3 linked regions of the Drosophila melanogaster genome follow. The protein of the gene in region 1 interacts with the protein of each later gene in a pairwise test. Each region holds a gene or a part of one and is shown in the gene's direction. Other genes may lie near its edges.

Evidence for each region.
Region 2: the proteins of Nup58 (region 1) and CG10341 interact in a two-hybrid assay, tested with the Drosophila melanogaster proteins (one large-scale study listed by BioGRID).
Region 3: the proteins of Nup58 (region 1) and CG13124 interact in a two-hybrid assay, tested with the Drosophila melanogaster proteins (one large-scale study listed by BioGRID).

Annotation. Positions count from the first base shown.
Region 1 is NT_033777.3:19,643,074-19,646,828, forward strand, and holds the start of Nup58 (nucleoporin 58kD), read left to right. Parts: upstream 1-1,952; 5' UTR 1,953-2,091; coding exon 2,092-3,015; intron 3,016-3,076; coding exon 3,077-3,755. Other genes in the region: Vha13 (vacuolar H[+] ATPase 13kD subunit), read right to left, coding at 435-605, 665-765, 1,133-1,214. UniProt on the Drosophila melanogaster protein: Component of the nuclear pore complex, a complex required for the trafficking across the nuclear membrane. Together with Nup54, required for transposable element silencing regulation in ovarian follicle cells.
Region 2 is NT_033779.5:18,696,773-18,700,527, forward strand, and holds the start of CG10341 (uncharacterized protein), read left to right. Parts: upstream 1-1,941; 5' UTR 1,942-2,062; coding exon 2,063-2,204; intron 2,205-2,263; coding exon 2,264-3,755. Other genes in the region: CG10338 (uncharacterized protein), read left to right, coding at 1-586, 649-982, 1,052-1,113. UniProt on the Drosophila melanogaster protein: RNA-binding protein required for the maturation of the box H/ACA small nucleolar ribonucleoprotein (H/ACA snoRNP) complex and ribosome biogenesis.
Region 3 is NT_033779.5:9,906,940-9,910,694, reverse strand, and holds the start of CG13124 (uncharacterized protein), read left to right. Parts: upstream 1-2,061; 5' UTR 2,062-2,270; exon of another isoform or gene 2,271-2,387; intron 2,388-2,839; 5' UTR 2,840-3,087; intron 3,088-3,147; 5' UTR 3,148-3,644; intron 3,645-3,755. Other genes in the region: Etl1, read left to right, coding at 1-206, 263-409, 469-771, 830-1,456.

The DNA of each region.
Region 1 (3,755 bases):
CGGATTAATCTTAAAATTGAATTTTTTAAGCACCCAGAGGCGTGACTATCGCCATCGCCAGTGTTGAGCACCGATGAAATGAACTCGCCGCAAAAATCTTATCACGCAGCAGCTGACTGCAGTGCAGATATGAAAAATGCGAGCAGGAAGAAAGTGAGGAAAACAATTGAAACACATGACTTTTCGGATAAAACAACAACGTGTATTGGGCAGAACACAAAACAATGATAATACAATCCCGCGCGAGTGGGAGGCAAACTAATATGCTCGCTTTTTTCTACATGGAACAACAACGAATTTTCACTTTAATGTATGGAATAATAATACAGCAGTGTTTCCAGTTAGATTAACCACTATTATTACGGGTCTAAATTATGGATTAGAGTTGAACGTGGACATTGAATTTACAGCGCACAGTTTGGGGGGCCACCTCTTTACTTGTGGTTGTAGTTTTTGTGCACCTCGGGCGAGATGTTGTACACGTACTGCAGGATCTCCAGGATGAACGGGTCCTTGCGGGTCTGGATGGCCCGGTCCATGTCGGCCAGCTTAACGCGGATATCCGCATCGATCTTGGCCGCCACGCCCTCGCGACTGCCCATGTGCTGTAATCGGGGTTCACACGGTATTACATGTACATAAGTTTCCCTATGTGGCGTCTTACCTTGGCCTCGAACTCCTTGAAGGCGCGCTCGCGCTCCTGGCGGAACTTCTCGATCTCCTCGGTAGCCTCGTCCTTGGCTTGCTTCAACCTCCTTGCCTTGCCTGCGGGATTACCCAGAAATCCAGATGATCATATCAGTTCAACTTGGCAAATCAGCCCTCCGCAAGATGACCTTCCATAACTTAAAGTGCCAACTCGCACAAAAACTATTTACTGCACTTAAGTTGCAGTCTTAGTGGCCACAAACAATTTTAATTTAATTTAATTTAATTTAATTTAGTTTAATTTGATTTATATCTCGAGTTATGGAGGATTGACTTGTATTTACTTTTTTCCACCACATCATGTGACCCACACACAACGGTGATGGTGGTTATGGTAGCACGGGGGCGGGGTGGTGAAAAAATCGCAGTTACTTGTCGCCCTGCCATTTCCAATTGGATTTTTGTTTCTGAAAATGAAACTTACGTTTACGAGCCTCGGCGACCTTCTCGGCTGCCTTTTTCTCGGCAGCGAGCAACTGCTGGATTCCCTGCGTCTGGCTGGCCATAATTTCCAAACTTCTCTAATTCCTCGCCGTGGTGTATACTGTGCAAGTCGAAAAAAGCAAGTGCGACAGAATCACAATCGACGACGAACTGTGAAAAATGTCATATGACGAAGTCACACACACGCAAACTCACCACGGTGGCTAGTTGGTGTGGGTAAGCAGTGTGCCGGAAAGCTGGGTGCTGCGAAACTCTTGGAGATGGCTCGGTCGATTGCATATCGATTAGCTTAGTTGTATATTATTGTTTGGTATTGTATTGGCCAGAAGTATTAAATAATTTGACGTTTTTGTAAGCATTAACTTTCTCATTTATTCCCATCATGAATATTTTTCTTTTATAATTTTGTAAACTTTAATTCATTTTAATTTAAATGCAGCGTTTAATCTGCTTCGCACTGTAATAGTTCCGGCTGTATTTAAAGCTATTGTAAGAAATTAGTTCGTAAAAAATTCTTTATATTATTTTAAAATTGAAATACATAAAGATTAAATTTTGAAATAATTTATTCATATTAATATCTGAAGGCTATCGTTTGATATTAAATAACAACCATGTTGTAGTGGACCGAACTCACCACACCTCAGACCAAAATTAAATATTTGAAAATCACAAATCGTAACTATATGAAGCTGCAAATACTTTATATATCTTTAGCCATAGTGTATTTATTTCAATCAATTTGAATACTTTGTTGATATTTTTCCGAATAAATCTCTGCTGACTAGCTATCGATATCACCGATAGTGTCATCTCTGTCCTAGAAGTTAAACCACAGATGCTCAGGCATTAAACAAAATTAATTTCGAAATTTGTTGCAGTAAATATAGTTTAATTGTTTAAAATTCCTGTATAAATCCTTAAGAGGGGTGCCTAAAGATGTTTACGCCCACCACGAACAACGCCATTGGAGGCGCCACTGCTGCTACCGGCGCTTTTGCTTTTGGCGCGCGACCGGCGACGACGACTGCTCCGCCTCCATCCTTTGGAGCAGCCACCTCTACGCCAACCTTCGGTGCTGCTCCGGCCACCACCTCCTTGTTTGCAGCTCCCGCGGCCACACCGGCCTTTGGGGCACCAGCTGCTACGCCGGCTTTTGGAGCACCTGCGTCCACGCCTGGTTTTGGCGCCACTTCCACTGCGGCGCCGGCTTTTGGAACGGCTGCTGCCACGCCCGCTTTTGGCATACCAGCAGCAACGTCGGCTTTTGGAGCTCCAGCTGCTACGCCCGCTTTTGGAGCTGCAGCTGCCACTCCCGCTTTCGGAGCACCCGCCGCCACGCCCGCTTTTGGAGCACCCGCCGCTACATCCGCCTTTGGAGCACCAGCAGCCACAACGGCGTTTGGAGCGCCAGCTTCCACGCAAGCATCGGCCTTCGGAGCACCTGCACCAGCCGTGGGCACTGTGGCTCCCACTTTCTCCTTTGCCACCCCGGCCACAAGTGCGCCGACCACCGCGCCGCCGGCCTTTGGATTCGGCACCACCGCCACAACGGCGGCAGCTGCGATGCCAGCATCCCTCAGCTCCGGAATTGGATCGTTTTCCTTCCCCAAGCCACAGGCCACCACGGCGGCCAGCTTGAACTTTAACACAACCACGACGACGGCGACGGCACAACCCTTCAACACGGGTCTGAAACTGGGAACCACCAATGCGACGACAACCCTAGGAGGAGGAGGAATCTTTAGCAAGCCAGCGGGTCAGGCAGCTGCCCCGGCAGCATCGACTTTCGTGGGTCTGGGGGGGATCGATGTGACCGCCACGCAACCAAAGCTGGGGGACAATAAGCAAGATGGCATCAAGGTGCTGACCATGAGTCTTTCACAGAGAAACAAAATAATCATTTTATTTTCGACCACTCCAGATTAAGGAAACCCAAGTGCCCGACGAGATAATAAAAACGGTGGATGGCCTAAAAGCGTATATCAAACAGCAGAAGACCATCTCCTCTGACATTGGACGGACATCCACCTCCAAATTCACGAATGTCAGCCACGAGATCACGAACTTGAAATGGGCGCTGCAGAATATGGCCACTTTAGTTGAGGGCAGCAATCAGCAGATCCGCCTGATGCGCCAAGAGACCGTCAAGGCGATTCAATCTCTGGAGATGGCCCAACGCACGCAGGACACCCCAGCCGGCCTGCAGTTCGAGAACAATGCTCCGTTCCAGTACTTTCAGTGCCTGGTGGCGAAGTACGAGCAGGATTTGATCGCCTTTCGCCAGCAGATCGCTCTGACCGAGCGCCACATGCACGCGATCTCGAATCCGCAGAGTATTTCGCCGGATGATCTAAAGCGTGGCTTTCGCCAACTTAATGAGAGTTTCATCTCGCTGGCGGGACGCCTCCACGAGGTGCATCAGCGGGTGGAGGAGCACAAGGAGCACTACCTAAACCTCAGACGCTACCGCCTGCGAGACACCACCAACGTTTTCGAGCGGATTGACAATCCTCCGCTGCCGACGGTGGAACCTCAACGGATTAGTAGCGGTCCAACGCCCTTCTCCAACATCTCGGCTCTGATGAACAAGTCCTATGCAG
Region 2 (3,755 bases), on another chromosome or scaffold:
CTTGAAGGGCATCGGCGTGGGCAGCGAGAACATCAATGCCTTTTCCGCAACGGCGACTTGGATCTTGAAGGAGGGCAGTGGTCACGTGGGTCGCATTGTGTTCGCATGGTGGCAGGGCTCCCAATTGGATGTGGACTCAAAGAAATGGCGCCTGCGTGCGGATTTTCTGAACGATCTGGCCATGGGCATCGAGATCTACGTGCTTCCCAAGTATCCGCATTTCAGCACCCAAATCCTGTGCTGCTCGACCCTGCTGAAGGCGATTGTGGGCGTTGCCGGAGGTGCCACTAGATCGGCATTGACCCAGCATCATGCCTTGAGGGGCAACCTGGCCGATGTGGCATCCAAGGACAGTTCACAGGAGACGTGCGTGAATCTGGTGGCCTCCTTTGTGGGCCTGTATCTCCTCTCGCTGATCAAGAGTCAGGCGGTCCTGTATACCATATTCTACGTGGTGGTCAGCCTGCATCTGTATGCCAATCTGAAAGCAGTACGCGCAGTATGCTTGCGAAGCTTCAACGAGTCGCGCTATTTGATCGCCCTGGAGGAGTTTTTCAGGTCGTCAAGGATGCTCAGTCCGCAGCAGGTTGGTACATCGTTGATCTTGTCGAAAAATAAGGTTTTGTTCAGCTTTGACTTTTTTTCTAGGTGAACGCCATGGAGCGTGTGACGGTTGGCCAAACGGTTTCAGTGTCACTGAACATAAAGCTCGGACTGAGCGTTAAAAATTTGATTGACGAGTACAAGAGCAGCAGCGTTATTGAGAACATAGTGTCCTCCTTCGATCCCCACGAGCACTTCATCATCGCACAGACCAAAAAGTGTCTGGGTGTATATCTGCACTTTGAAACTCGTCCGCAGGATGTGCTGAAGGCGTACTTCTTTGCAGTGTCCTATTTGCAGGACAGGAATCAGCTTAAGGAGAAATACTGGGACATTCAGACGAAGTGGCAGGAGTTTTTGGCGCTGGCGCAGCAAGAGGGTAGGGATAAATTGATTTCATTTGTACTATTAGTGCTAGAGCCCTAATTAATTTTACTATGTATTATAGGTTGGCTAATCCATCATCACTTGCTGCTGGTGGACGAATACCGTTTAGATTGGAAGGTGTAGGAGAATGGTGACTTTGATTGCTAGATTTTGACCTTAGTTGCTTGCTTTGACCTGAAGAATTAATTTCATTAGACTTCATTATCATTCTCACATATCTCACATGGCTACCATAGAGCGAAAACATTGATATTAACTAAGTGCTATTGATATTTACCTAGATTTAGCTTTGTGAATCTCGTTCGCACTTGAACATCTTCCAACTAACTCTGCCTTAGCACAAAGTAATGTTTGTAACCGATATTTGATAAGCTAATTTCGCCCTGCTTTTACCCATGAATTTATCGGAAGACATTGTTTCAATTATTAGCTGCTACTAGGACTAAAGGAGACACAAAAGAAAATCAAGAAACTATTTTGTAAGGACTTATTGTAAGTATGCACTTCGATATTTCGAGAGCATACAATACATTTTTAGATATTAGTCATGAAGAATCTCACAACGAACTACGGAAAACCCGTTTCAATTGCATTCTGAGCAAAAAGTGTACAAAGTTTTAAGCTTTTTTTAATGCTAAATGTGCAATAGTAAGTTAAATATTAGCTTCGAGTATATACGGAATAAGTTGGCGTCCATTTTTGCTTAACTAAAATGCTTTTCAATGAATGCAATATATGAATTGTGTGCATACCGTCTCACCACGCAAATGATTTTAACGAAACAAATAAAAGTAAACAATTTTAAGGACAAAAATATTTATATCACATTTTTTAACAATAAACATTTTAAAAATTATACATTCGTTTTCAACATTTTAAATTTTTTGAGAGCGGTATAAACCATTGCCATTCGCAACGGCTCGATGTATTTTATTTATGACTGTGAATGTTATTTTAGAAAGAAGAAGACAACACGTGCGTGCATTCAACGTGTGTATTCTCAGTTGATATTCGTTTCCCTGCGATTTCAGCTTGATTAAGGAATTGTCTAACTATTTAAAGTTAAATAGGCATGGAGAGTGAGCAGCCAGCGGCTGTAAAGGCTTCAGCTCCAATTGAAGAGCCACAATCCACCGAAACAGCTGTTGAATTGGGGAAACATAGCACCTTGAAGGCAGACTTATCAATAGATAAGTTGGAAACAGCGACAACAGGTAAGCTTATAAGCTTTCTATACTATAAGTTCAATAATAGATTTGGAATTTCAATGCAGAAGCTACGAATGCCGTAGTAGAACCAGTAGAAATGGAGCAGCAGGTGGAAAATGAACTGGTAAATGAGTCAACACAAGCCATGACATCGACCACAACCCAGGAAAAGGTGGTGGGTTCAGTGAATAATCTTGTAGAGGAGCAACAGTGTGTGGAAATGGAATTCGAAACATCATCAGATCTCGTGGTCCAGGGAAGTCCATCGGAAGAATCCAAAAAAGTTGCCTCTGACGCTTCTGCTACTGTGACCGCACCTCAAGTTCAGCCCGCTCCACATGTTGATTCAAGCCCTCAAGCAAGTGGCCTCAGTCTGTTGGCTGCCTACAGCTCTGATGACTCGGATGATGAGAAAGTCACTCCAGTGCAGAACGGCGACAACGATGTGATTGAAGTTCCAGTTACGGACCCCGCATCCTCCACCACCGCATATCGTCCAGTTGTAGCTGTGAGCTCGGATGACGAGAGCTCAAAGAGCAGCAGCAGCAGCAGTGACTCAGACTCCGATTCCGAAGGAGAATACCTCACCGTACTTCGGAAGAAGATTGACAAAAGAATCAACACCGTGGATTGTGACGAGGATGACGAGGACTTTGATGAAGATGGGGCTACAGGAGATCGGTCTCGTCGTCGCCAGCCCCCGAAAGTACGAGGAGAAATGCTCCTTGATGACCTTCCGCCTATTCATCAGCTAGAGATTACTGTACCCGAGGATGAATGCGTTGAACTTGGCAAAGTTCAGTCCATCGTGGATCAGCTTGTTTTGGTTTCCGTGCTGCCGAATTCCATGCTATTCGATCTCGACACCGTTTTGTTCCTGGAGAAGGGTCGCAAGGTCCTGGGCGAAGTGTTCGATGTGTTGGGTCAAGTGTCGGATCCACTGTACTGCGTTCGATTCAACAGTAACAAACAGATCCTCGATAGGGGCATCAAAATTGGCGACGTAGTGTACTGCGCTCCCAAAACCGAACACACTCAATTTGTGATCCTCTCCAAGCTGATGCAAGTTCGAGGATCGGATGCTTCGTGGGAGCACGATGTAGAACCACCAGCCCGCTACGTAGATCACTCGGATGATGAAGAAGAAAGAGAAGCCAGGGCAGAGCAGCGAAAGCGCCGCCAAAGGGATCGCACAAACTCCACAGATTCCGTGGACACGGTAACCTCGGTGGCCACGACAGCCACTAAGGCTTCTTCAGTTGCTCCTCCTCCTCGTCAACGCGGACGTCGTGGGCAACGAGAGAGTTTCCGCCAGAGCCAGCGACCCTCCATTAACCAGCACAACCAGAATCAGCCACAGGACGAACAATACAACTTCCATCCAAGCTACAATCCGGGCAGCTGGCACTCCAACTACTACCAGAACTATCACCAGGCAGCGGCTAACTTTAACATGGCTCAGCAGCATCCTGGCATGCCCTTCCCAGTGCCTAACTATGGCTACGGAATGCCCTACGCCATGCCGCCCATGTACCCACACATGTACCCGCCACCACC
Region 3 (3,755 bases), on another chromosome or scaffold:
ACGTCATTTTTGATGAAGCCCATATGCTGAAGAACATGACCACGCAACGCTATGCTAACCTTATAACCATAAACGCTAGGATGCGAATCCTGCTCACTGGAACTCCGCTGCAGAACAATCTGCTGGAGCTAATCTCTCTGCTCTGCTTCGTGATGCCCAAATTCTTTGCCAAGAGCATTGAGGACATAAAATCGTTGTTTGCTAAGGTAAAACAAAGATTGGTTTCACACAAAACAATATATAAACTTCATGTTCCTTGCAGAAGGGAAAAAGCGATGGAGATCAGGATGAGGTTTCACAGTTCCAGGAAACACAAATCCAGAGAGCAAAGCGTATCATGAAGCCATTTGTACTCAGACGGCTTAAGAAAGATGTCCTTAAGAACCTGCCCAAGAAGCTAAGCCTGGTGGTAAGTACGTCGGGCGAAAATAAATATTATACAATAATTAAATTGTTTTTTATTTAAAGGAAAAAGTGCCCATGAGCAGTCAACAGAAAATATACTATCACGAGCTGGTCGATTATTATTCCAATAACAAGGGCGAGGTGTGCAGCAGCAGCGAAAGGGCCGGCATAGCGATCATGATGGAGATGCGCCGCATTGCAAACCATCCGTTGCTGATGCGTCACTACTTCACCGACGCCAATCTACGTGGATTCTCTAAGCGCCTGGCTAATGCCAGTTCCTTTAAAAAGACCAACGAGCAATACATCTTTGAAGAGCTAGCCGTTATGTCAGACTTTCAGGTCTATCAGATGATGAACAAGCATGTAAGTGACTATCAAAGAGGTTGTCCAATGACAATGACTAAATTTGTGCATCTTTCAGGAGTTTTACGACGTGAAAATACCCGATAATTTGATATGCGATTCTGGAAAATTCCTCTACCTGGATACGTTGCTTCCAAAACTGAAGGCAGAAGGACACCGTGTGTTGCTTTTCAGCCAGTTCACCATGATGCTGGACATTGTGGAGGAGTATCTGCGAATACGAAAGTTTGGTTTCTGTCGCCTGGACGGGGCGACCGCCGTAAATGTCCGCCAGGATTTGATCACCGACTTCAATGGGGACGATAGCATCTTTGTGTTCCTACTCTCCACCAAAGCCGGTGGCGTTGGCATCAACCTGACGGCTGCCGACACCTGTGTCATTCACGATATCGACTTCAACCCGTACAACGATAAACAGGCCGAGGATCGGTGTCATCGCATGGGACAGCAGCGTCCGGTGACCATTTACCGTCTCATTTCCGAGAGTACCATCGAGGAGGGCATCCTGATGGCCGCCGAAGAGAAGCTAAAACTAGAAAAGGACATTACTTCCAACGAGAAGGGCGAGGTGCACGAGCAGCGATGTGTGGTCAAGCTGTTGACCACAGCCCTTGGCTTGGACAAGGATCAGGAGGAGCAGCTAAACAATTCACTAAACAACTCCATAGCCTCGCCCGCCAAATAGGCATTCTCGTTGTCCTCGTTCTCGTCCTTGTCCCCACCTCCGTATTTATTCTGCGCGAGCATTTGATCAACTTGGTCTAATCGTCCTACCGCTGTCAAATCCTGTTAACATCGTTTGAATTATTCTAACAATATTGTATTTGTATATTTTTTAAACTTGTATGCAAGGAGAGATTTGGTGTATGGTATGCCAAAAGTGGATCATAAATCGAGTTAGTAATTTTTCACCGTTGAGGCGACATTAGTTTTTCTTCATTAGTAACAGCAACATTTCCACGATAAACCAAGGCAGACAAGTTAATATTCTTGTTTTATTGATTTGTCATCATGATTAGTTTTCATTTCTGTAATTTCTGTTTATGTATCGAATTGAAACTATTGTTATAAGGATAAAGATCATTTTGTGTACGAATGCGATCATGTTCATTTATTTCTACATATTTGCTCTATAGTTCGAGCCGCTCGACAACCCTAAACGGATCGCTCTCGCATTTTCCCACGAGATTCTTTTGGTTGTGTGGTGCAAAGAGAAGCGGAGAATCGCTTTCCAGAGAGCACAACTGTAATGAAGAGCTTTCGGCTGGCGCGGCGATTCATCAAGTCTTTAGTCTTCAACTGATCGCTCGCGCCGATGATTTAATTTTTAAGTTAAAGCCTGCGCCCAGTGTAGCAGCCGGCAGCGTTACTCACATCCATATACATACATACGTGCGAATATACATACATGCTCACATAATACGGCGTACATCGATAAATAGATATACCCCGCAGATATAGTGTCTCGATCGACAGCAACGAACCCATGGAAACCTAAAGTAAAACCAAAATTCCAAGGTTCCATTGTCCCGTAGTTAAATGTGTTTAAATCCAATTACATCCCCGATCCTTTATATTTTGCTCTTACGAATCGGGATTATGTGATTCATGCATAAGTACATACGTTTCCTCCCCGAATACTTTCTTGAATTCTATTTAAAAATAGACAAACTGTTTGCGAGCGGAAATCATATTGTGCCGCGGCGGCGACTAAAACGCTAAATAAATCGGGCCAATAATTTGAAATAGTCTGTTCTTTTTTTTATTTTGTCTTTCTGCCAGCCCGCTGATATTATTGTTTTTGACCAACGGAAACGGAAGCAACGCCAACTGCATATAGGTTTATAGATGTATCTACATAGTGCTGCGATACAGTCATCATTCGCAGCGCTGTCATATACTATAAATATAGATGCGGCGGCACATGTGAGCAGTTTTTGGCAATTGCCAAAGAATACGGCGCACAAGTCGGGTGAAAACAAACAGCGCGTGCAGGCTAAACATGAAGAGTAGTATAGGAAAATATAAATAACAATTAATAATCCCCTCATTTTGGCCGCGCCTGTATGCGTGTAGTGACCGCTTGTATGTGTACGTGTGAGAGTAATCCGAACAATAACTATATTATATACATAAATAGCGAGCGATCTGCATTAAATGAGAGAAAAATCACAATAAAAAGAAAAACGAACGAACACAACAACGCGAACAAAAATTAAGAAACCAAAACGGAATCGGTAATAATTGACGACGAGCAGACAACGAGCCGAGAACAAGCAGCACAAAGCGACAAACCAAAAATAGACGATACCAACGGTGCGTATACTTAACGAGCCACCCGCTCATATCACTCATCTCGCCCTCTCGCTCGCACAGCAGCCACCAGTCATCCGAGCAAAAGCAACAACAATAGGCACTAAAATCAATTGTGATCACAGTGCGTTTGTGTGAGTGCGTATGCGTATGCGTATCTGTGCCTTTTTTTGCATTTGCCGCTGTATCTGCCTGCATCTGTATCTGTGTCTAGAGGCCCGCAATCCATAACCATCTAGTGTATTACCCCATATGCGGACTATTTGGGCGTGGAGGGACGCTTCGAAATATTAATTATTTCTGACACTGTTTACGGCTTGACTTGGCGCATGCCAAGCATGATTAAACGAGACACGAAAGAGCGTATCTACGAAGTAGATAAATATCTTTATACGAACAACTAAGCTGCGGCACCAAGCAACAATCGAATCGACGAATAGCAACAACGCACAAACAAACCCATCTATATATACACTATAGACAGAGATAAACAAAAGCTCAAGCAGCAACAGCAGCAGCAACAACGAAACAATTTGAAGGAAATATTTTTGCACTAAAAGGTGAGTATATCCGTCCATCCGACGCTGATTCATAATACCAGCCTAGCTTATTCCGAGCACTCTGTTTGGCAATCTGAGAATGGGAAGTGTAGAGCAATTAGCGAGGCAAGT